2 linked regions of the Caenorhabditis elegans genome follow. The protein of the gene in region 1 interacts with the protein of each later gene in a pairwise test. Each region holds a gene or a part of one and is shown on either strand. Other genes may lie near its edges. The genes, in order: pacs-1 and wdr-37.

Region 1 (12,077 bases):
TCTGAAGTCTATTGTCAAATTCATTTCTGATTTTTAAAGATTTTATAAATCGCAATTGAAAACTTCCTTGTCTGAATTTGTCAAAAGGAGGCAAAAACTAATGTTCGGGAAATGATGGATGACATTGCAACACGAAGAAGCTGCTAGAGATTCTGAAAAACTCGACAAACAACAAAAATGCAGAAGCCGAAAAGGCTGATGAAGTTATGAGTAGCTTAAATAAAAAAACACTTATAGACATGTATGTATTCTTTTTTCTAAACTTAACGAAACTTCCGATTCATGTGCAAACCTTCCCTAGATGTTTTTTTTTTCAGATTCCAGTTCGTCTCTGCCACAAAAGATATCATTTCAGTACATATTTATTGCAGTGTCCCTTCGAAGAATTATATGACTCCTTGGAAGTACTGGATTTATTGCTTTCTATGTACTTCATGTAAGAGTAAAACAACAAGAAAACTTGGTAATTATTGGGTTAGGATAGAAAAGAAATACAGAAATTGTTTTCCTGTTGATATAAATTTCATTTATGTTTTTCCTAACTAATAATTCATTAAATATACCAACTTTCTTCCTAGTTATTCTCATTTTTCAAGTTTTCCCCTTCTCGATTTAAACTTCCGCCCTTTTCACGCAGTAGCCACTGCGGCCAAACGCGCTCTGCTGGACTAATTTTCTCTGCGTCTCCGCTCATGACTTGAACTTTTCAAGGATTTTCAGAATTTTTCCCTTCGTTTTTCCTCATTCTTTTCTGTTTTCTTTTTATTTTCGAGCTCCGTAAACCTGACCTTTAGTCCCTTTCTTCAATATTCGAATAGAAATTTACAACCGGAAGCCTTGTCTGCTTGAAAAACAGAAAAATTAATTTCGCACATGCAAGAGCGACTCTTGAAGAATTTTTGACGCTTGTTTTATTTGGGATTCGAATCCGGATTCTCGTTGTCTGAATTGCTCATTCTTTTTTCCCATCCTGAATCTTTAATTATCGTCAATTTTAAATACGGAAAACAAACATTTCGTCCTACTCTTCTCTTGTCTGCTCCCCAGTACCCAAATAGAGCTTCTTTCACTACTCTGTTTTCGGCTTGTTTCCGTCGCAACGGAAACAAAACAAATTCTCAAAATTCCCACAAGTGGAAAGCATGGAATATTTTGATAATATTAATTTTTAATCCTTGATTCGTACACTTCCTTCCCTTTTTTCATTTCCTGTAGAAAAAAGGCTTATAACATGAGCGTTAGTATTTTATCTTCAATTTATTCCATATCCGAGAATAGCAATAAATAGATGGCACGTGTCCTCGAGGACCTTCGAAAATGACATCGCGAGCACACCGACAACCAAAAACCGCCGGAACTAGCGATGAAACTTGAGAAAAAACATGCCCCAGCGGTTCCCGTTCTAAATTAGTTTATTACGCTAACATCGACGGATATGTGCCATTTTGTATATTCAACCATAACGTATAAATAATGTGGGCTTCTATATAAATACGCTCTGTACTCTCCGAGTTTATCTTGTTATTTTTCCATCACAAATTGGTTAGTTATTCTCAAGAAATAATTATCGTTTTAAGTTTCACTATTTAGTCAAAATATACCTCGTGCTCTTTCGTCTTTTCTGCTGGCTAGTAGCCTCAAAGCAATCCTGGGTCCTCGTTGTTGTTATCACTCTCTAGACTGAATGTTAGCACTCTCTCAAAAACTCAGCTGATCTTTTCCCAAGTTCGCGTTGTGTCATTTGCAGCAAAATGGGACGGCAAGTAGTTTCGGTGTCCGGAACCATCCAGCTAATGATATTTTGTTGTATGTAGCGGGTCACACAGAGAAACGAAGAGAAACTCAACTGCCATTGGCACTGCACGGCGGCTAATCCCTCAAACACATTGGAGAATACTGGAGGCACGCCTACTCGACGACCCGTTCGACGATTCATTGTGCGTCCGTGTTGCGAGTCTCCGAGAGTCTCGGAAAGAGCATTGCCCTTATTCTGCGTCTCTTTTTCTTTCTTTCCATTGCATTCTCGAGTCCCATTTCTACTGCATCTCTTTTTCGCGCCTCCCTCACTTGTCCCCCATCGTGTCAATGCTATGTCATCATCGTCATGCTCCGAGATGGTCGTTTGTCATTCTCTGAAGCTGTCAAGACAATCGCCCATTTATTTCTTTAGATGAGTGGAAAGGGAAAAGCTCAATGTTATTTTCTATTTTTCTTCGCTCTATCTTCTTCAGCTACAATACAATAGTTTATTTTTAAAAACGCGTATAATTTCTAAATTAGCTGTGTCCGGAAATGAAGATTCAAGGTAATTGTCTCTTTTCATCGCTTCATTTCCCGTTCCCGCTGTTTTCTAATTAGCTTATTATTCATAGAGTGCAAACATCGAACGCTTCGTTCTCTCTTTTCCGTTCTCTTATCGTCTCTGTTGCTCCCTATTTCTAGTTTTGTTATCGAATCGGTCGCCATCGAGACGGAGCGGCTGCATCTATTTGTTATCTGATTTGTAGCGTTGCTATCGTCATAACAGTTAGATTATAAATTATTTTCCACCTTTTTTTGAGTGGAAAAATTAATTCTCGTCATCTTCATTCCAGTTAGAAATTAACGAAATTCTGTCAACTTTAATTAAGCTGTAAGAGCCTCAAAACCAACACCATTGCGTTGTGCTGCGCAAAGAGAGAAAGGTATCCAATTTTAATCCAAGAAAAAAGATCTTCTACCACCACTGCTACATATAAAGGATTTTTGTGTCTCTGGCGACAACGGAAACCCCCACATTTCCGGGTCCTTCTCTTTTTTCCAGCACACACAGAGTGGTATCGGCAAACGTCTCAGTCAATCAGATTCAACGATTTAGTTGGTTGATATATCAGCAAGTTCGATCTTTCGCGTGGAGGATGATTGATGCGTTGTCCTGTCAGTTCGAATTCCCTAGATGCGTTTGATGGAACATTCTTTTCACGTATTTTCCGTGCTCTCGCGCCTGCCATCGCTCTCTTCTACCTGAAATATGATATTGGTCATTGGATTCTTTGTGGCGTTTTCTGTGGATATGATTCTACAAGTCGCAAAAGCCTATTGTTGTCGTAATCTGCACGTAATTTTTCGAGAATATCATTCAATTAAACTCTGTATTTCTCAAATTCGATCTCTCGAAAACATAATAAAGTTAGACTCTTATAAACGTGCGAAGTACCTAGATGTTCCGTTTCAATTAAATTTATTTTAAACATTCTCACGATATTTAGAATCAAATTCAGTACGGTTGACCAGACCTATTATCTCGGTGTCATTTCATGCCATGTTCTATATTTTTCCGCTACCTTCTCCATCTTTTTATTAATGAGAGACATAGACGCAATGCGCGTAAGTGTCTTGGGATCGTGAACACCTTTTCACCACAAATTTAATTTCGCGACCTTTTGTCGACGACACATTGAATGGAGGGTTTCTCAACACCCTCGTTTCCCTTTTCATTGACAAAAAATCAGTTCCAATCCCTTGAGAATACATTTCGAAGAGCCGCTCTTTCTAGCTGTTGGATATAAGCCTTCATTTTCGTCCTAATTCCTATTCATGTGTAGCTTTCCTTCTCTCCCACGCGTTCAATATTTTTTGTTTATTACTCAATGCTGAAATGCTTTCATCTCTGAGAAAGAAAATTTGATTTGGAGAAATTAACAGAAGGAAATCTCCGCAATCCTGACATATAAACATGATATTCTGTCGCCGTGATTTTTTCATCGCGAAGTTCATGAACAATCATATTCAGTACTCCTAGATGTTTCACATTCAGTTTTTTCGGTTATAGTGAACAACTTTTTGCCATTCGTTTTTACACCTATAACGTGTCATAATCTCTTTTCTACCGAAAAACTGACTAGTTTTAACGGTTTTCAGATCCTACAACAACAATTTCACCGGCGGTTGTTCTCTAAACAAAAAGTACACTAGAAACATGATATTTCCACATTGATTCATGTTTTGCTTCAATTTTTCTATCTTTTGATTTTTCCTCTCTTTTTCATCGAGTTCATTTTCACAAACCTTTTTTATTTTCAGTATCTAGAAAATTTCCTGTTCTGAAGATGACACTTCATTGAATAACTACGGAAGACTACAAGAATGGATAAACAACATGAGAGCAGTTCAATGGCCATGCGGTTGTATGCCACATGGGATGTCGATAGAGCTACACCGTCTACTGTTCCGAGGTATGTTCACTTCATAATTTAGACGAGGAAAACAATTAATCAAATTTTTACTGGTTTTTGTTATTCTGTGTGCAGACGAACAAGGATTTTAGTTCCTTGTTTTTAAGATAGTCTGTACAAAAAACCGGTACTGAAAATTTGTGGCGCATACTTGAAGATTCGACGATTCAAAGTTCTACATTCAAGTAGTCCAAAAGTAAAAATTGCCATAAGTTATCAGGAATTATCATAATTTGTAATATTTTCCAGGATCTTCAACGTTTCAATTAATCGAATTCTCTTGGATTGTGTATTTCCTGAAGTAAATTCCATCATTGTAACGGCAAAACTTCCGGTAAAAAATAAGGTTTTGAGAAGAGTTTACACAAAAAACAATTTTTAGCTCTCCAAACGAAATAGATATTTGCGGAGCAACGAGATAAAGGTGACGCCGAATCACGGTCGAATCGATTTGGATTGTGATATCTCATTCTGCATCCAATATCCACATTTTTTGAAAAGAAAATCAAATGTGCTTCAAATATTGATTCAACGAAGGAAAAAGTTTAAAAATCGTCTTCCTGGAGGTCTTCGTGATCTCGCTGTCGGGAATATTAATCTCACTTACGTAAGTTTTTTTTGGTTAATCGGATTATCCAATTGAAACAATTACAGATAATGCAACAAGGTGGTTTACGGGAAATTCAGTTGAACCCAACTTCTGAAAATGAGGTTGAATTGAAAGGAGGTTTGTGTCTTATTTTGAAAAATCATTGAAAAAAAGCGTTGTTTATTTTTCAGTTGGCGCGTGTGCTGGAAAAATTTTCCTTTCCTCCTGTTATTCACAAGCACCTGAAATTGTTGATGATCGTGACAAACAGAAAAAGAATGTCGAAGATTCTGAAGATGAAACAGAAACAGACTATGATGATGTTGGTGATGAGCTGAATGAAATGCCAAGTGCACGAAGCGGTCGGCATAAAACATCCACAGATATTGAAACAAGGACGGGACGAACAAAAGGAAAAAATTTGAAATATCAGATGAATAAATTGTTCAATATGTTCCGACCAGAAGATGTAAGTATTTACGAATTGTCTAAAAATAAACATTTTTAAATTTAGGGGCGACGTCCGGTGGTCAAAGAAATGCCGTGGGAAGATGACGACATCGATTCACCATACGATTCTGGACCGGAGATGTTTAATGATGACGCATCGATCAGAAGCAACCGTCGGCCTCAGCTTGCACCATTTTTTGATTCTAAAGAGAAGAACGATCATCTTGCTGCAATGTATGAAGTTTCTGACGGAGAAGGGGATCATGGTGAAGGAGGATGGAATTCTGATGGAGATAATACTAAAGAAAACGTCGCGCGACACCGATTAATTCAGAAGGATTCGATTGGTTCCGGTCATCCAGACTATTCAGTTCAGGTAATTGTTATTTAACTGATTTCATTTTTAATAACATTTTTCAGACACCTGTGCGTTCTGCCGGAATACGCGTTGTATCATCATCATTTGATTCACATTCGATGCCACATTCCTCGACTCTCAATTCAATAAAAAATGATCACGGAGTTCATCGAGGAGTGAGCTTGTCAGAACAATTATGCTCCATTCTTGGATCGAGCATGTCTCCTGAAGGAAGTGATGCTGTTTGGTTGTGTAATTTATCAGAATGGCCTGCATATTCGATACTGGGTGGTCCAGTACCTATTGTAAACTGCCCTTCATTTTCGCAAGTTAGACAGACGCTGAGCCATGTTATAAATCGTATTCAAAATTTGTGAGTGTTTCTTTCTCATTTCATTCTATAATATGAGCTTATAATTCCAGCTGCCACTCCAACTCATCAAATCCTCCGTTGACAATCGTTGGAATCATCGGAACTGACAAACTCTTCTCACAAGTCGTTAAAGCTTATGTGGAGTGTCTGGCCCATAAATCGCTCGCCAATCTCGTCAATCATCTCCGATTCGTGGCCATCCCGTCGACGAGCTCTCTATTTTATAAGATGATCGAAGGTATTTTCAAATTTTCTTTTATTCTAATATATTGCTTGTTATTTCCAGGGATCGATCCACAACTCGACAATTTATGCAGAGATCTCTGGGATCGTTTTGGAGACATGACATTGCCAGAAAAAACTTCATTGGCTAATAAAATTGCTGCTTGGCCAAATAGTGTCAGCTCGTCAAAGATGAATATGCCAATAGGCGAAGCTATGCTTCAATTGACTGCTGATCGCGATCCTGAAGGTGGACGTGTGTTTTTACCTTTCCTCAGTGAAGTTCGTGTCGGAAGTCAACAGTGTGAAATTGAAAATGATGATGACTCAAATGGACTCAATGGATTCGCACAAACTGTAATTTCTCCACGAGAAGAGTCGGTTATATCGAAAACTGATGGATCGTCTCCACCTCATTCTCCACAACTTCGAAACGTCGATGGCCAAGAACTTAATATGGATTTCTGGCCGAATAATCCCGTTCCGCAATCATCACAATACTCGTACGGCTCTGATTTCCCTCCATCATCTTCGAATACAACTCCGAATTCTAAAAAAGATACAGCCAAGGTCACAATTAAAGCTCATTTCAAAACACTGCTTGTGTCGAGATCTCCAAGTTCTGGTTCATTGAGTCTTACCTATTTAAAAGAAAAAAGGAAAGACAAAATGCTACAAAAACTGGGAATGAAGAAAGGACAAAAGCAGAAACCAGAGGAAGGAGCTGCTCCATCTCAAGTATCTTCTATTGGAAGAATGCTTTGCAGTGCTACCGGAAAGCACAATGAATTGACTGGTTCGTTTTTTTTTGTTTTGAGCTGTAAAATAAGCAGATTTATTTTCAGTTATCATCGATGGAAATGCTTACAATGGCATCAGATACTTTCAAACATCTCCACAATGGCAGACGCATATCAAATCCTTCCCAATTGCTTTCTTCACTCCGAATGTCTGCACAGCTTGATCGTTTACATTTTGAGTGTATCTACTCATGTCTTCCAATTTCTTTTTATCATCTCTGTTTCATAATTTACACCTCAATCTCGCTTCTATTGATTTGCCTGTATAATATGTAAGTGTTCCCAAAGTGTCGAATATTAATCTATTTCTTTTTTGTTGCTATTCTCTATGTTAAAATATTTGTACACCTTCCCCCACACGGTTCCGTTTTCTCTCGTTTTCTTGTCCGATGATGCCCTTGAAATATGCTTTTCCGCCAATTTTTCACCTTGAAACATGTGCATCGCACCAACAAACGCTTTATTTTTTATGTTTTTACATTCCGAATTTCAACTCATCGTTCATTCGATTTTTAAATAAAAGCTTTTGATTAATTTTATATAATTAAAAAATATATGTTTCAGTGTTGTTTTTTTTTGTTCCCCCGGGCCAAGTCATTATTTTGTTGAAAAAAAAATTGTTTTAAAAAATTGGCGAGTTCAGATAATGGGAGACAATACAATCCGGATAAAAAGCGAAAATTCGTTCGGAAATACGGTATAGTTTTTGTCATTTAATTTTTTTATAATTAAAAAAAATTAACAATTCACTGGCCCCCACGGTAGCTGAATATTGAAACAAATTTTGATCTCAATTATCTTTTTCGGCAGGGGAAACTGCGGCATATGTTTAGCTTGAAAAAATTACTCGAAACACGCAGATTCAAAATCCTTATTTTTCAAAATGTTCAGGCTGCAAATGGAAGATTCCCAGATACTCCTTTTGGACGAAGGCCGCCCCTTGTTAGCAAAGTAAGTTTGTGTCAATGTCATTTTTTTCTTAAAATCAACTTAAATAATAATAATAAATGACAAAATTTAGCTGCTAAAAATAAATTAAAACTTTATATTATAGGAAACGTTGATCCCTTTAATAACACTATTTGTGAAAAGTGTCGGAAAAAATACAATTAAAAACTAGTACAATTTGTGATAGAATTGTTTAAAGTTACGATGCTAGTAGAAATTTACTAAAAACCACAAAAAAGTTTATACCCAAGTGAGAAAAAAGATTTGTTTTTACATCTAAAACTTGAAGATCCCTTTTTTCCACAAACATTGAAACAACTTTGAGAAATGCGCAGATTTTTTTTCAAAAATAAAACATGCTTCAAGATTTTCAAATTAATTCATATCGATTTTTTGTAAAAATCTCGATTAGTGCTTCTTAGCAATTTTTCTTTATACTAATTTACCTCATTTCGATTGAAAATTGAAAAAAAAAAACAAGATATTCTAAATTAGTTCAAGTAACTATTTAAATCTTGGCACGTGCTGTTTATCGCTTTTATAAACATTGGAATTTTGTTTATACCAAAATTAAGTCATTTGCGATCCCCTCACTCTGAAGTAGTTCATCAAACGCGCTCTATTGAAAACAAGACTAATGCAGTTGTAGGGAAGCGTTGGAAAAGTGTATACCAGCAATGAAGAAGTGAGAGACGCAGACACCGTATATTGCCTATTGCAGAAAATGGTGTTTTCACAGTTAATGTATATTTCTATTTGATCGATAACATTTTTCTATTTAGTTTTCAGTTAGATAGATCATTTAAATTAAATATTATTGTTTTTTCTTTTCATAATTTTATTTAAAACAATTAAAATTCAGTTAAACTTTTTTATTTATTGTGTTGATTTATCTTTTAATTTCAATCACAATCTCAAAATTTAGATAATACACCGTTTTCTTTATTTTGAAAAAAATTGTCAATTTCATTCAGCACTAATTAATATAAATCGGAAAATTTTTTAGATAGACGGTCGAGCCCGGATTTTGAGACCACTTCGTCCGGCAGCCATGCAATCCAATCAGCAACCGACCACATCTGCAAATGCTTCAGGACCATCGGGAGCACGTATCTCTTCGGGTAATATTCCTCACTCTCAATCGATGCCTGTTCTTCAATCTGGAAACACTGCTAACCGACCTTCAACTGCAGGGAATCCGGCAGCTGGACGACCGATTTTAACACTTCCATCAAATACAACGGAGAAGCACGTAATTGCGTTAAATCAATGGGCAGAAGTGATGAAGAGTAAATTGGAGAAAATGCGTCAAAAGTCGAAAAAAGCATTAGACGAATCGATGAAAGAGCATTCGACAATGGAAGATTTATCAAGAGCAAGAGAAGCATTATCAGAAATGGGAAATATGTATTATGAATTGAATAGAGCAGCAGCACTCAAATGTCGATATAATGCTGTATTTGACAAAAGGCCTCTATATAAAGCTGTTGAATCATCAATACAAGTGAGTTTTTGATTAATTTAGTTTAATGATTAATGATTAAGATTCTTAGTTCAAAAGTCATAATTTATAGTTTTTTAAGCTTTTTTTTTTGTCCTAACACAAGTGACGGAAAAAAAAACAGTCTCAATGTAGTAATATAACATTGTTAAGTTCTAATTTTTTTTCAACGAAAAAATTGAAATAAGCTGATGAATTTTAGAATTCAGCGGAATAACTTAAAGCAGATTTTTTTGCATTTTCCGGATATATTGATTAGTTTTTTATTCGTTTTTTTTAAAGATGTGATTTGAAACATTTTTGTCAAATTTTCAGACATTTTACAGTAAGGAAAACTTGAGAAAACAAGAAATTTGTTGAATCTCTAATTTTGGTATAAAGATAGATAATTTAACGTTTATTGTGGAAAAGTCCCTGAAAATGTGACAAACGATGTTTCAAATTCTACAACAATTTAGAAAAATTCTATAATTTGTTTAACAAATATATTCACTATACGGAGACTGTTTTCTTTCATTTTTAACTCTTTCTGCGAAGACATCATTTTAAATGAGAATAAATTATTTAAAAAAACCGTTTGCCAACTTGGAACTTTAAATATTTAATTTCAGGATCTCAGACAGAAAGATGAAAGTGCTTATCAATTATTCTACAAATTACAAGAGGCAATGGACGAGAGGACAGTTATTGAGGTAATATTTGGAAATACTCTGAATTCGTTACATTCTAATTTCAGAAAAACATTATCGCTGTGTCAGAAACATTTCGTCAAAACGCTGTTCATGCTCCGAGAGTCTCAAGATTATCTGTCCCACCACCTTTGAAATTCTCGAAACACGTTGAAGATGCGAATAAAGGAGTTTTCTTAGCAATGGATGCTGTTATGAATAAAACGAGGGGTGATTTGACATGGAGATTCAAAAGAATCAGTCATCCATGTTTTAGGAATTCAAAAAGTCTCATTGAAGTGAGTTTTTCTTCCAGTCTAATTTAGAAAAATATAAACCTTTTTCAAAAATCTTTATTCCCGAAACCAACTCCCGTTTCCCAATGTAAAATGGCTTTAATTCAGGTTCACTACTGTGCTCGGCGCCCAAATAGTGAAAAAGAATTCGTTCCGTGTATGAAAGCTGTTATTGTACTCAAATATGGAATTCTCGAAGATATGATTATTGGAGGCGAAGATGAAGATTTATACAATCAAGAACAAATTCTACATTCGAAACGGAAAGTCTACAGAGAATTCACAAAATCGGCCAAAGAGATTATACTTTGCTCGCCAGTTACAAAGTTTACGTAAGTTTTAAATTTTTAAACGAAATTATGTAAAATTAAAAAAACATGAATTACTGGAAATCTTTATAGAAAAATATTTGTATATTAAGCATTTTTTCGTTTAGAGAAATTTCGAGACATTCCCAATTTTCTACATATTTGGAAATGAATTTTGTGCGCCTAGTACATTTTTAAAAAAAGCTTGAAATCCATTTTAGATATTAAAAAAAAACGGTTTTACAAATTACAAGCCAATTTCCAAAAAATTTCTTGAATTTTAAATAAAGAAAGGTTGGCTCGCATAAAATATGTGTAATGCATAAAAAATCTATATCTTTAAAAACTATCTAAAGTGGATTCGAAATTCTCCTAAAATACCACATTACATTTTTTTATTAGCCACATAAAAAAAATTTTTGTCAAATTCGAAAAACATTTTTTTTAAATAATTTCTTTTAAGATTTTTCCATTATTGTTAATAGAAATTTATTTTTGGATGTAATTTTTTAGTAAAAAAAAACTATTATTCGCCAAAAAAACGATGCCAAATCATCTTTTAATTAGAAAAAAACTCGAAATTTATTTTTTTAAAAAAGGTAATTTTCTTATTTATTGGATTAATTTTCAGTGCACCCACAAACTTCGCCCAATGCAACAATTACATTCAGTCTTATGTGAACTGTTTCTCAACTAAATGCTATTATTGCAAGTAAGTTTTATTTTTTTTTAAATATAAATCATGTTTTTTTGAAAATAATAGTTTTTTTTTTCAGAAAGCATCTGCGACAGTTTATGCCTCCAACCGTTGTCACGAGAGAATCGTCTCCAATCATTTGCCATAAATTATGTTTGATGTCACAGGTCCCTTAGCTTTTTTTGTTGAAAATATTAATTTATTTCCATAGTTCAGTACACTTGTTAGATTCTTTTTGCTCCATGCGTGTCGCTTTAACTTGTTTCATTTCTACGGCCCCACTGTTTCCACTTTCTTGAATTTTTCCCCACTTTTACGAGAGTATTCCTAGTTTTTTTTGTCTCTTGCCAGATCTTCACCATCATCACCTTGTCTCTTTCAATGCTTTTTGATGTGTTCAATAAAATCATACAGACCATTCATCTCAATTGAAAAAATGTATTTTGCAGGAGCACAACTTGTTTGCTCTTTCTCCTTTTGTTTCAATCTGTTGTGTCGACTGGGACAGTGCATGTCGGGACACATGTTGAAGCATTCCGTTTTTATTTCATTTCATCTTCGTCGTTTTTTCCTGTTAGCCTTTCAAATATTGAAAATGTTTCGAATGACGAGGTTTTTCTATTGAAGAGCCATGTTTGCTTGTTATCAAATAG
Region 2 (10,565 bases), on another chromosome or scaffold:
TCAGCGCCCTCAATTTTCCCCCGATGCAAAAAAAAAAACACAACAAGACCACTCCCAATTGGACGGAAAGATATCTGCGTCTCCGACCGATCCATTGCATCTCTTGTCCACCGGTTGACTGGCCTTGACCACGTTCGCACACTTATTGTCAGCCTCACCCGAGGCTATCCGCTTACTGAACCCCACTTTACGCGAAACTTTCTGTATATAGGTGACTGGCGTTAAATAATAATAGCATCGTTCCATTTTACAGCTAATTTCTTACCTGAAAGTTTTCGAATCTTGAAAAAAAAACTAACTGTCATTTCAAGTAGTAATTAGTAATTCTTTATTTCAATAAAAATCAGCGAAAATGATCCAAAGTCTAGAATTTTAACAGGAAACAGTAAAATTGTAGAATACTGAATTCCCACTTCTCCTCGAGAAGTACACGAGCTGCGTAAATCGACACATGGTCGTGTTATTGGTTCACGAGTGTGCGCCTTTAAAAAGTACTGTAGTTTCACCTTTGTTTTTTCAACTTTTGTTGCTGTCAGTTTTTCACGATTTTTCGATGAAAACATACTTCCTGATTGATCAACTTAAATTTAAATTAAAAAAAAAACTTCCCGAAAAACCATTAAAATTAAATGAAAATTCCGGAACAACAAAAGTTTGAAACTACAGTACTCTTTAAAGGAGCACACCTTCTCGTATTTAGCACAAATTTGTCGTGTCGAGAACATTTATCGAATTATTGGTCCAAAAATTGTCTGGATATTATGTGAAAGCCCGTGATTGAATTTTTTCTAGTCCAAAAAACATTTCAATTTGTTTTTTTTCAATTTTCACTTTGACGATCACAAGTTTCATTTCTTTCTCTTCTCTTGCGATGAATTAATAAAATATCATGTGACTATATTTCAATTCTTTTTCCAAGTACATTCTTTCAGAATTTCTCAAAATTTTCACCCCAACAAGATGACATATCTGCGTCTCTCCTATGTACCACTTCTAAGTTTATACTTACTCAAAGTCTATTTACATTCGGACCCACCAAAAGAACCTTTTCCTTTATAAATTGTTTATTCTAATAATGGACTCTCTTTAATACATCTATCCGATCCCTCTTCCAACTGACTCATTGAATCATCCGGTTTCCGACAATTTATCCGTCTATTTCTCCTCCAATTCATGATCATTTCCATTGCTGACTCATCGTTTTATCAATTCTTCTTCTTTTCTTTATGTTTACACAGTTTGCTTTTCTGCTCTTTTCCTCCCCATTTCTTCGCCGAAATCTTGAGACTTTTTGAACCATTTTTTTAAACGAAAAATGTTCTAAACTTTTTCTATATCAGATGGCAAAAGACATTTACAAGACCTTCAAACGATCGGTCTCCGGAATTGTCGGTGGAAATAATATTAATGGAGAAGGATCTTCAAGCCCGTCGACGAGTGCACCACAAGTAAAATATCGTGGTGGGACCGGAAGAACGTGGATTCATCCGCCAGGTTTTTTAAATTTTTACTTTGAAAAAATTGAAAAAAATTGTTTGAACAATTTGTTTCATCTTTTTATTGAAAATATGTTGTTTATTAAAAATATGCCGTAATACAACACATTTTTCAAAAAAAAATTCCTGATGAAATTTTTATAAACATTTTTTTACGAATTCCCAAAACAAATTTTAACGCCTTTTTTGTAACTTTTTGTAAAGTCGCTTTAGAAATTTGTAAAATTTCATAAAATTTTTGTTTAAAAATAAATGTCTTTGCTTTTCCAAAAAATAATTTTTCGAATTATCTTGAACATTAAAAAATCTTCATTCGACAATTATTCTTTTCTTTAATTTTCAGATTATCTTATCAATGGCCATGTGGAATATGTTGCACGGTTCCTTGGATGCGTCGAAACTCCAAAAGCAAATGGAAGTGACGTGGCAAGAGAAGCGATCCACGCGATTCGATTTCAACGCGATCTGAAACGATCTGAACAAACGCGGGAGACGGCGAAACTGCAAAAAGTGGAAATTCGCATCTCGATCGACAATGTGATCATTGCGGATATTAAGACAAAAGCGCCAATGTACACTTTTCCATTGGGAAGAATATCGTTTTGTGCTGATGATAAAGATGTAAGAGATTTTGAGTTGAAGCTAGAAAAATTAATTTAAAATACTCGAAATACTTTGAGAAATAAACATTAATTTTTCGATTTTCCTACAGTAAAATAACTTTGATTGACACTTTCGATCATACAATTTCGGAAAAAACCCCAACAACGAAATTTCAGGACAAGCGAATGTTCTCATTTATTGCTCGCGCCGAGGGTGCTAGTGGGAAGCCGTCTTGTTACGCGTTCACATCAGAAAAGCTAGCTGAAGATATCACTCTAACTATCGGAGAGGCTTTTGATCTCGCCTACAAGAGATTCCTTGATAAAAATCGAACGTCTTTGGAGAATCAGAAGCAAATATACATTTTGAAGAAAAAGATTGTGGAGCTTGAAACCGAGAATCAAGTGCTCATTGAGCGATTAGCAGAAGCTCTACGGGCTAATAGTAAAGCTGATTATGAGAACACGGTAGTTTTTTAAAATTACAAAACAAATTATTAATATATAACATTTTCAGGGTCCCCCAATCTATCCAGGATTAGGTCCTCCAGCACTTCCACTTTCTCCGATGCCTCAAGGACCTCCACCAAACATTCCTCCATCCTCAATATATTCCATGCCACGTGCCAACGATCTTCCACCAACTGAAATGGCTCCAACTCTCCCTCAGATTTCTACATCATCAAATGGAGCATCACCATCCGTGAGCCCGGCATCCACATCACCATCTGGACCAGCTCCATCAATTCCTCCACCGAGACCTCCTGCACTGGCTCCTCCGCCACCAGTTGCTCCACGCAGAAACCCCGTTGTTTCACCGAAAAACTCCACGGCGGGATTGTTGGATGGATTGGAGTTGGGGTCAGCTGAGCCGGCAAAAAAAGCTCCTAGTAATATTTTCGATGATTCGTTTGATCCCAGAGCTGGAGAAAAAAAGAGCACTGCAGCTGAGTATAGTGAGTTTTCAACAATAAAAAGATCTTTTCAAAAAAGTAATATTTTCTAGATCCATTCGGTGCGGACTTCCTCAGTGGCATTCAAAATGGTAAAGAAGCACCACCATCAGCCTCCGCTGAACTTCTCGCTTCTGAAGCAATCGCTCGTCTTCCAAAGCCAGAATCCTCATCTGTACCACCCAAAAAGACCGCTGCAGAGTATGATGCAATGATCAATGAAGTGGAGAAGAAGCTTGCCGCGATGAGTAGTGGATCATTTGAGTTCGGGCAGCTTCAAACCGGGGACCTTGGCGGAATCGAAGGCGAAAGCGATTATGGAACACCATCGGATCGTTTGAATCCGAAAATGATGAATTTGAAGCAATAAGTTTATTTCCTTTTTTTTAAATTTTCCAATTTTCTACGTTTCACGGTGATTTTTTTCCATTGCATTCTTGTACTATTCTTGTATCATTCTTTTACTAGCAGGGTTTGGCCGAACGGCTTGCCAAATTTATTAGCTGAATGTATTTATTTGCACGCTATCATTTTTAAAAATTACTTACTTACTTACATGTGAAAAATAAACTGGAATGTCTCATGGCTAAAATGTCACAAAGCTTTTCTGGCAACAAATAGAAAAAGTTTAAATATTATGAAGTTGTTGTATTGACTTTCCACGCAGCGACCATTCTATCGAAACCAGCGGTGAGCAGATTGTTGGCAGGATGCTCGTCGAGCCATGCACAGCACGTCACCATTCGTTCGTGACATCGGCGGTTCGGCATACGTGGCAGGCGATTTCCATTGAGATCATAGATCCTGACGTGACGATTATCCATTGGGATGGCGATGACCGGATGTGACTTGCTGATCGCCACACGATTCGCCGGTGATGAGAGCCGAATCGTGGCCAGCGGGGTTCGCATGTTTCGAAGATCCCAGATTTTTACAGTAGCATCGTCACTGGACGACACGATTCGATAGTCCGTGTTAAAGCTGACCGAAGTCACTGAATCCTGGTGTCCCTGGAACACTGCGACCGACTGTATGGCTTCTCGGAAATCCCAGAGGCGGAAGGTGGAGTCTTTGGATGAGGTGAGCACGAGCTTTTGATTGGAGTGAGTGCTACAGTGATTAAGCTCACTTTCATGACCTGCAAATTATTCATTTTTGAAATTTAAAGTCGTTTTGTGACACCCTACCACTTAAAATATTCACAACTTCTCCTTTCTCAACATCCCAAACATTTGCCGTTCGATCCCAGGAAGCAGTGACCATCTGCTGTCCTCCAGCAAGCCATTCACAACAGCTAACAGGAGCTCGATGTCCGGTAAGCCGCATAACAGGGACACGGATCCGATGACCGTCGGATTTTTCGCTGGACGAGGTGAAGCGATTGTGTTCGACGACGCCGAGCAAGTTGTTCGGATCTCGGTGGTGCTCCTCTTCTTCCTCGGAACTGTGATCGGATGGAGCTGAAAATAGTTATAGCTATAGGGAAGTTTATTATTCCGAAGAAGTCCATTTTGTGGGCGGGGCTTACCATGTCCCGCCCATTTTCTAGGTGTTTTTTTTTCAAAAATACAAGAATTTAAAAAATATTTCAATAAATTTCGGTGAAATTTCAAAATCTTATTGAAAAAACTGTGTTTCAAGTTTTTTTAATCCGAAAATTTCGCCTTCTGGCAACTATAATTTTTGTAAAATCGTTTTTAAAGTTTTCAATAGTCTTCAAACTATTGAAAACTTTTTTGTTTATTTTTTTTAGAAACTGTCTGCTTTTTTGGCAAACCAGCGATTTTAGGCGACTTTCAGCGCTAAACTTTGCAATTTTTAAGAATTTTTTGAAAATTTACCATTATTACTGGGAACCTTCCAAATATGCGTTGACTCATCACCACTCGCTGTCGCCAGCAACAGTCCTGACGCTGGTCCGGATCCTTCAGTACTATCCACAGCACAATTATTGGAGATTGCCACACAATTGACACTTCCAGTGTGTCCAGTATATGTTGCCAGACAGGCTCCACTTTCCAATGACCAGATACGGGCGGTTTGATCTGCACTCGCACTTGCACAAATATTTCTTGTCGAATCAGCTGCCACATGCCATACACCATCTTTATGTCCTTCTAGAAGTCGACTCAATCGGAATTTTGATCCATCACGGAATACTGGAGGTCCTCGAAGAGCTGTTCGCAACTTTTGACCCATTTGAATTGCTTTTCGACTTGATTTTCCAGATTCTTGAACTCCAAAAACCTCCTGCGCCACAACATTCGCTGCTTCACCTTCAGTTTGTGTCAATTGAACAATTCGAGCACGTACTGAAACTTGATATATTGAGGTTTTGATTGGCTGCAAATCATAAACTAACGAGCACAATTCTCGGCATACAATGTGTCAAACTCCTTTTCAATGTGCCCAAAGAGCTGATAGAGACGGGCTCGATACGGAGCATCGTCAACGTCCAATGAGCTCTGAAGAACTGTGAGTGCTCCGCTGATCTCTGTATCGACAGTACCACGTCGTGAACGCATCACCTTCTCTTTTTCGGCATCTTTTGAATTCTCCGATTGTGGCATTGACCCACTGCAAAATTAATAATATTTATAACATGCAAAACTTATTGGCAAATTTGTTTCATCCTTTTTCAAACTTGCTCTCATAAATTCCAAAATTTTCCTGATAATTAGGTTTCTTTCATTCTGTTAAATTTAGTTTTTATTGAAAAAAGATTCACTGCCAGCCCGTTTTTAATTTAAAAATGATTTTTTGTTGGGTTTTAGGTTTAAAAGCCATTATTTTGAGGCAGATTCAAAAAAAATCTATATATTAATTCTGAAAAATTCAAATTAGAAGAAAATAAATATTCACAAGGACGACAAATCCATATTTAAAAAGGTTTCAATTCCTGTTAAAATTAAAAATGTTATTGATTTCATCTGAAAATTATGACAAATGACAATATTCGAAAAAAATAAAATAAATATTTTTGAGAGAAAAGGAGAAAAGAGAAAAAAGAATACGTTATGTTCACTGATATGATTGATTTCGGGAGAAGGATGGATTTTTTTCAGAAAAAAAGAAAAAAACAAATTAAATATTACAGAAGCATTGTACGTCAAATTAATGTCTAAATCTCTTCAGGAACTTCGTGATTCGGATCAATTTCCACGTGTGACTCTACCTCCAGCATCTCATCGTGTTTAAGCATATTTCGGGCTGTGCCTAAGCCAAATCTTGCGTCGAGTATAATTTTTTGCATGTTGAATTTCATCACGGATTTCTGAAAATAGATTTTTTTAATATTTCGAAAGTTAAATATTGATGTTGAAGTTTGCCTGGTGATTTTTCAATGGGAACTTCAATGATTTTTAGGCTGATTTATTACAAATATTGAACATAATTTGATTTTTTTTGTTTTAGCTCATTTTTTAAAACAATTTTTCCTGTGTAACTCAAGACTTGAATCCAGGATTATTTCAAGTTTGCTTGTATTTTTTTCTTTTTGGAAAATTTCACTTTTTTCTGAGAAATTCGATTTTTGTCCACAATTTTCAATGTTTTTTCTCAAAATTTAAATTTTGTAAGCAAATGACATTTCTTCCTATAAAAAATTTTTTATATCCAAATTCGAATTTTTGTATAAAACTCCAATTTATTAATGAAAAATCGAATTTTTAAAACTCTTCCGCGTAAATTTTGTTAAAAACCAAAAATTACCTCATCATCAGATAACCTGTTCAAGACACTATTGATATGTTGTTGAAATGCGAGATCTTCATCATATTGTATCGCCATTTCATCAGAAGGTCCTCCAACCACCACTTGCTGCTCAATATCATCTCCAACACCCCCATCATCTGAAAATTCATTCAATATTCATATTTTTCCAGCGAAAAATTACCAATATCTTGATGATGATAATGATCCATTGAAGTTGATGGCATATCCATTTCATGATTTTGTGAACTTGATTGTTGAGATTCCAGAAGCATTCCAGAACCTATTTTACACTCTCCATCAGCTTCTAAAATAATCTCATCGTCGGCAATTGGGACTCCATCGGTTAGAATTTCTTTGGGTAGACACGGGGCATTTGATGAGGTTGATACACCGACCATTTCACTATTTCGATGACCCACTTCCAAGTGTATTTTCTTTTTTGGTGGTTCCGATGGCATATTTGAACTGAAATGTTTTATTAAGTGAAGTTTAAGAAGTAAAAAAAAAACTCACGAATCTATAAGTTCTGGCATCGAATCATAAACCAGGGAGTTTGTTCGGTGAGGCTGAAAATTTAATTCTTATTTAAATAAATTATTTTTTCCTACCATATGTACCAATCTTCTAGATGAAGCCACTGTAACTGCAGGTTGCGGCGTTGCACTTCTATGCGCGGAGACCATTTTGTAAATTTTCGTATTCGATTGAGCATAGGAGGGTGATGGTTCCACCTCCACCAATACACCTTGTCGTCCAAACGGATTAACTTCCTTTTTGACTTCATTCATTTGATGTTGTTGGTCTGGATTATTCTTCTGTGGCATACGATGCTGTTGCTGGAATGAAAAAAAATCAAAAAATTGTTATCGGACTACGAGCTCATCAACTACAACACGGCGAATGAGCAGATACTGCAGATATTGGTATTGCTTCATTAGTCGCGCACACAATGCAAGTTACAAAGTGTAATGCACCATGAAGCGGGGTCGAACTTGTGGACTGTTGCTTTGCAGACGAGAGTGTTAGCCAGTAGGCCACCCGTGCATCACCGCAAGCGAGGCCGGTAAGGGGTTTTTGAATGCTTGCCTTTGCTATTACCCAGACGTGAAATTTGCGATTTTTGCGCCAAACATACGGTACCAGGTCTCGACATGACTAATTTTTGTTAAATACAATAAAGTGTGCGTCTTTAAAGAGTACTGTAATTTCAAATTTTTGTTGAAAAGCTATGAAAATCGATGAAAATTCCGTAGCAACAAAAGTTTGGAATTACAGTATTCCTTAAAGGCGCGCATCTTGTCGTATTTAACAAAAATTGTTGTGACGAGACCGGTTATCTCATAGTCAGCAAAAATCGGAAAAATTAGGGTCTGAGTAGTAATTACTTCATCGTTTTTGCACTTACCACTATCCGCTTCGGCGATAATGGATAAGTTCGAACAATTGCCTCTGTTTCTCTTGATTGTGGTGATTTTCGACGGGAATATGAAGATGTGGGAATTTGTTGATGTGGCCTAACATGAGGCTGAATAACCACATAATCGAACTTCATGGATTCAGAATTTCCGAGACTTTGTCCGGGTTCTAATACATCTTCTGCCAGCGGAACGTCATTATAGAAATCCTTATCCAGTCCGGAGGACATTGCGGTGAGCTGTGAAGGAGGTCGAGAGTCTGCTGAAAATATAAATGATTTTGGTGTATTTCTTTGCAAGAAACTCTTACATTTCTTCTTAAAAATCAATGAATCTGTCCATCGCATTGCCTCAATTAGTCCATCGGACATATCAATCGATTTTCTAGCATATTGATCGAGAAGATCCGACCAGACTTCCTGAACAAGAGTGATGTCCTGCCAAACTATATCAGCACGTATCCGATCCCATGCTTCTCGTTTCTGAACCTTCAACTGAGCATCCGGCGTGGCGGCTTGCATCTCCTCATCGTAGAGAATCGGATTTTCTCGAACCATATTGATTAGTTGAAGCTGAAAATTTGAAAATTTTGAATTTTAAACGTTTTCCAGCTTACAAGTGTGTATTGCGTAGTTTTTACGGGTGGATCTTCCCTGGAAAATTGTTGTTGGAGGTCTCCAGCACCACCGTGGGAGCTTGAGGCGACACCTGGAAAAATTATTGGAAATTCTGAATCTATGAATATCGATTTACTTGTCATTGAATGCTTGAGACCGGCGATTTGATAATCCTCTGTTCCGTGCCGCCGTCGGTCGCTCATTGGAAATTTTTAATAATAATTCTGAAATTTATTTTCTTCTCAAATTCTCGCAAGTTTCTCAAGCATTTCTAGCTGCGTTGCGTGGCGATTCCTTCCCGAATTCGAGTTTCATATCAATCTACGATCCATTGAACCCAATAACCCGATTGGCAAGAAGATGATCGTACACACTCATTCACATAGGTGATAGACGTGCTACAGACCGTGGGAGACTCGAACGGGTAGTAGGGCGGAGCCGGGAACCGCGACGCAACCGAAACGCTTCAGAAACCGCAACGGAACAGGCATGCGAAGCGGTCAAGATTCGAAAAAGAAAACGGAGCGAACAGGCAGAAAAACATCGATAGATAGGCGCGCGTGGCCGAGAAGGAGGCGAGACGAGACATCTAGGCCATCGATGGTTTCTCTGCGTCTCTCAAGTGAGTAAATAAATGGTTTTGAGAGGGTAAAATGAAGAAAAAGGATTGATCGAAATTTAAAAACTTAGTCTAGGAAAGGAAAACAAAGCAGGGGAAATCTGAAACAAAACATATAAAAACACACATTTTAACTATTTTTCAGAGTTAAACAAATATAATCTAACAAGAATTCAACTTCAAAGTGAAGATTTCCAGAAACGAAAATGGTTATGTGATTTAAAAATGTGATTTGTTCAAGGAATTACAAGAAAACTCTGGTTTAACATTTGAAGAAAATCCATATTGCGAAAAATGAATTTTAAAAGAATTATTGACGGTTTTGAAATGTGAAATTTTCAATAAATTTCGAAAAATAGATAACTTTTTTTAAATAAAGAAAAACAACGAAAAAATATTTCAGTGGTTACGGTAAACAAGCATAAGAGTGTTTGCGTACTGCGGACCAAAATCTTCGCGAGACCTCGGGTACTGTAGAAAATTTAGGTATTTTTAAAACTTTATTTTTCTATTAATTTCCCTTCTTTCTCATTGGGATTTTCTAGTTTTCTGGTAAATAAAAACAGTTTAAATTTAAATTTAAAAATTTTATCTCCATATTTTTTGTTTCCAGGATGTCTTCTGAACCCATTGTTGCCAATCTAGACAATTCCATGACGACAGAGCCTGCACCCGCAGCTTTTCCACCAATATCCCCAATGTCATTTGCTTTTATGAATGAAGAAGAACGAGCAGCGGTCAAGTTTCCAAAAGTTGATCCAAAACCGCAAACTGCTAAAGATGATGAACCTTCCACATCCCAGAAAACGTTGAGCGTCGATGATCTTCTGATAGTCGACGACGACGACGAAACTGATTCACCACCGGCATCTTCTAGTAATTATGAACCTAAAGCTCATATTGGATGGGCTTCATTCGGAGATTCCTGTCTCCCACCTCCACCAAAGCCAGTTAAAAAAGCTACGGATCCAAATTTGCCACGAAGAAGTTTGTTTGCAAATGGTCCTCTGTTAAATAAAAATATTGTTTTCAGAAGTCTACGTCATTCGTTCTCAGAATACAGACAAGTCGAAGTCCCCGTTAGTTGTTAATAACCAACAAGTAACACTCGAAAAGGCACAAAATTCTCCAAAAAATCCGAATCCTGTT

What was found.
Region 2: the proteins of pacs-1 (region 1) and wdr-37 interact in a two-hybrid assay, tested with the Caenorhabditis elegans proteins (one large-scale study listed by BioGRID).

The regions. Positions count from the first base shown.
Region 1 is NC_003283.11:9,209,227-9,221,303, reverse strand, and holds pacs-1 (Phosphofurin acidic cluster sorting protein 2), read left to right. Parts: upstream 1-4,045; 5' UTR 4,046-4,125; coding exon 4,126-4,214; intron 4,215-4,463; coding exon 4,464-4,548; intron 4,549-4,596; coding exon 4,597-4,821; intron 4,822-4,868; coding exon 4,869-4,941; intron 4,942-4,994; coding exon 4,995-5,272; intron 5,273-5,317; coding exon 5,318-5,629; intron 5,630-5,673; coding exon 5,674-5,984; intron 5,985-6,034; coding exon 6,035-6,222; intron 6,223-6,270; coding exon 6,271-7,002; intron 7,003-7,051; coding exon 7,052-7,170; 3' UTR 7,171-7,550; downstream 7,551-12,077. Other genes in the region: mdt-27 (MeDiaTor), read left to right, coding at 7,653-7,703, 7,898-7,957, 8,961-9,458, 10,067-10,147, 10,192-10,422, 10,528-10,751, 11,359-11,439, 11,504-11,600.
Region 2 is NC_003281.10:5,594,431-5,604,995, forward strand, and holds wdr-37 (WD repeat-containing protein 37), read right to left. Parts: upstream 5,629-10,565; 5' UTR 5,622-5,628; coding exon 5,414-5,621; intron 5,370-5,413; coding exon 4,893-5,369; intron 4,512-4,892; coding exon 4,239-4,511; intron 4,190-4,238; coding exon 3,687-4,189; 3' UTR 3,549-3,686; downstream 1-3,548. Other genes in the region: ced-6 (Cell death protein 6), read left to right, coding at 1,341-1,494, 1,840-2,117, 2,276-2,566, 2,616-3,054, 3,105-3,421; madf-11 (MADF domain-containing protein), read right to left, coding at 6,173-6,325, 6,763-6,902, 6,947-7,230, 7,279-7,331, 7,374-7,601, 8,171-8,442, 8,491-8,752, 8,797-8,888 and 1 more; xnd-1 (X chromosome NonDisjunction factor), read left to right, coding at 10,031-10,403, 10,450-10,565.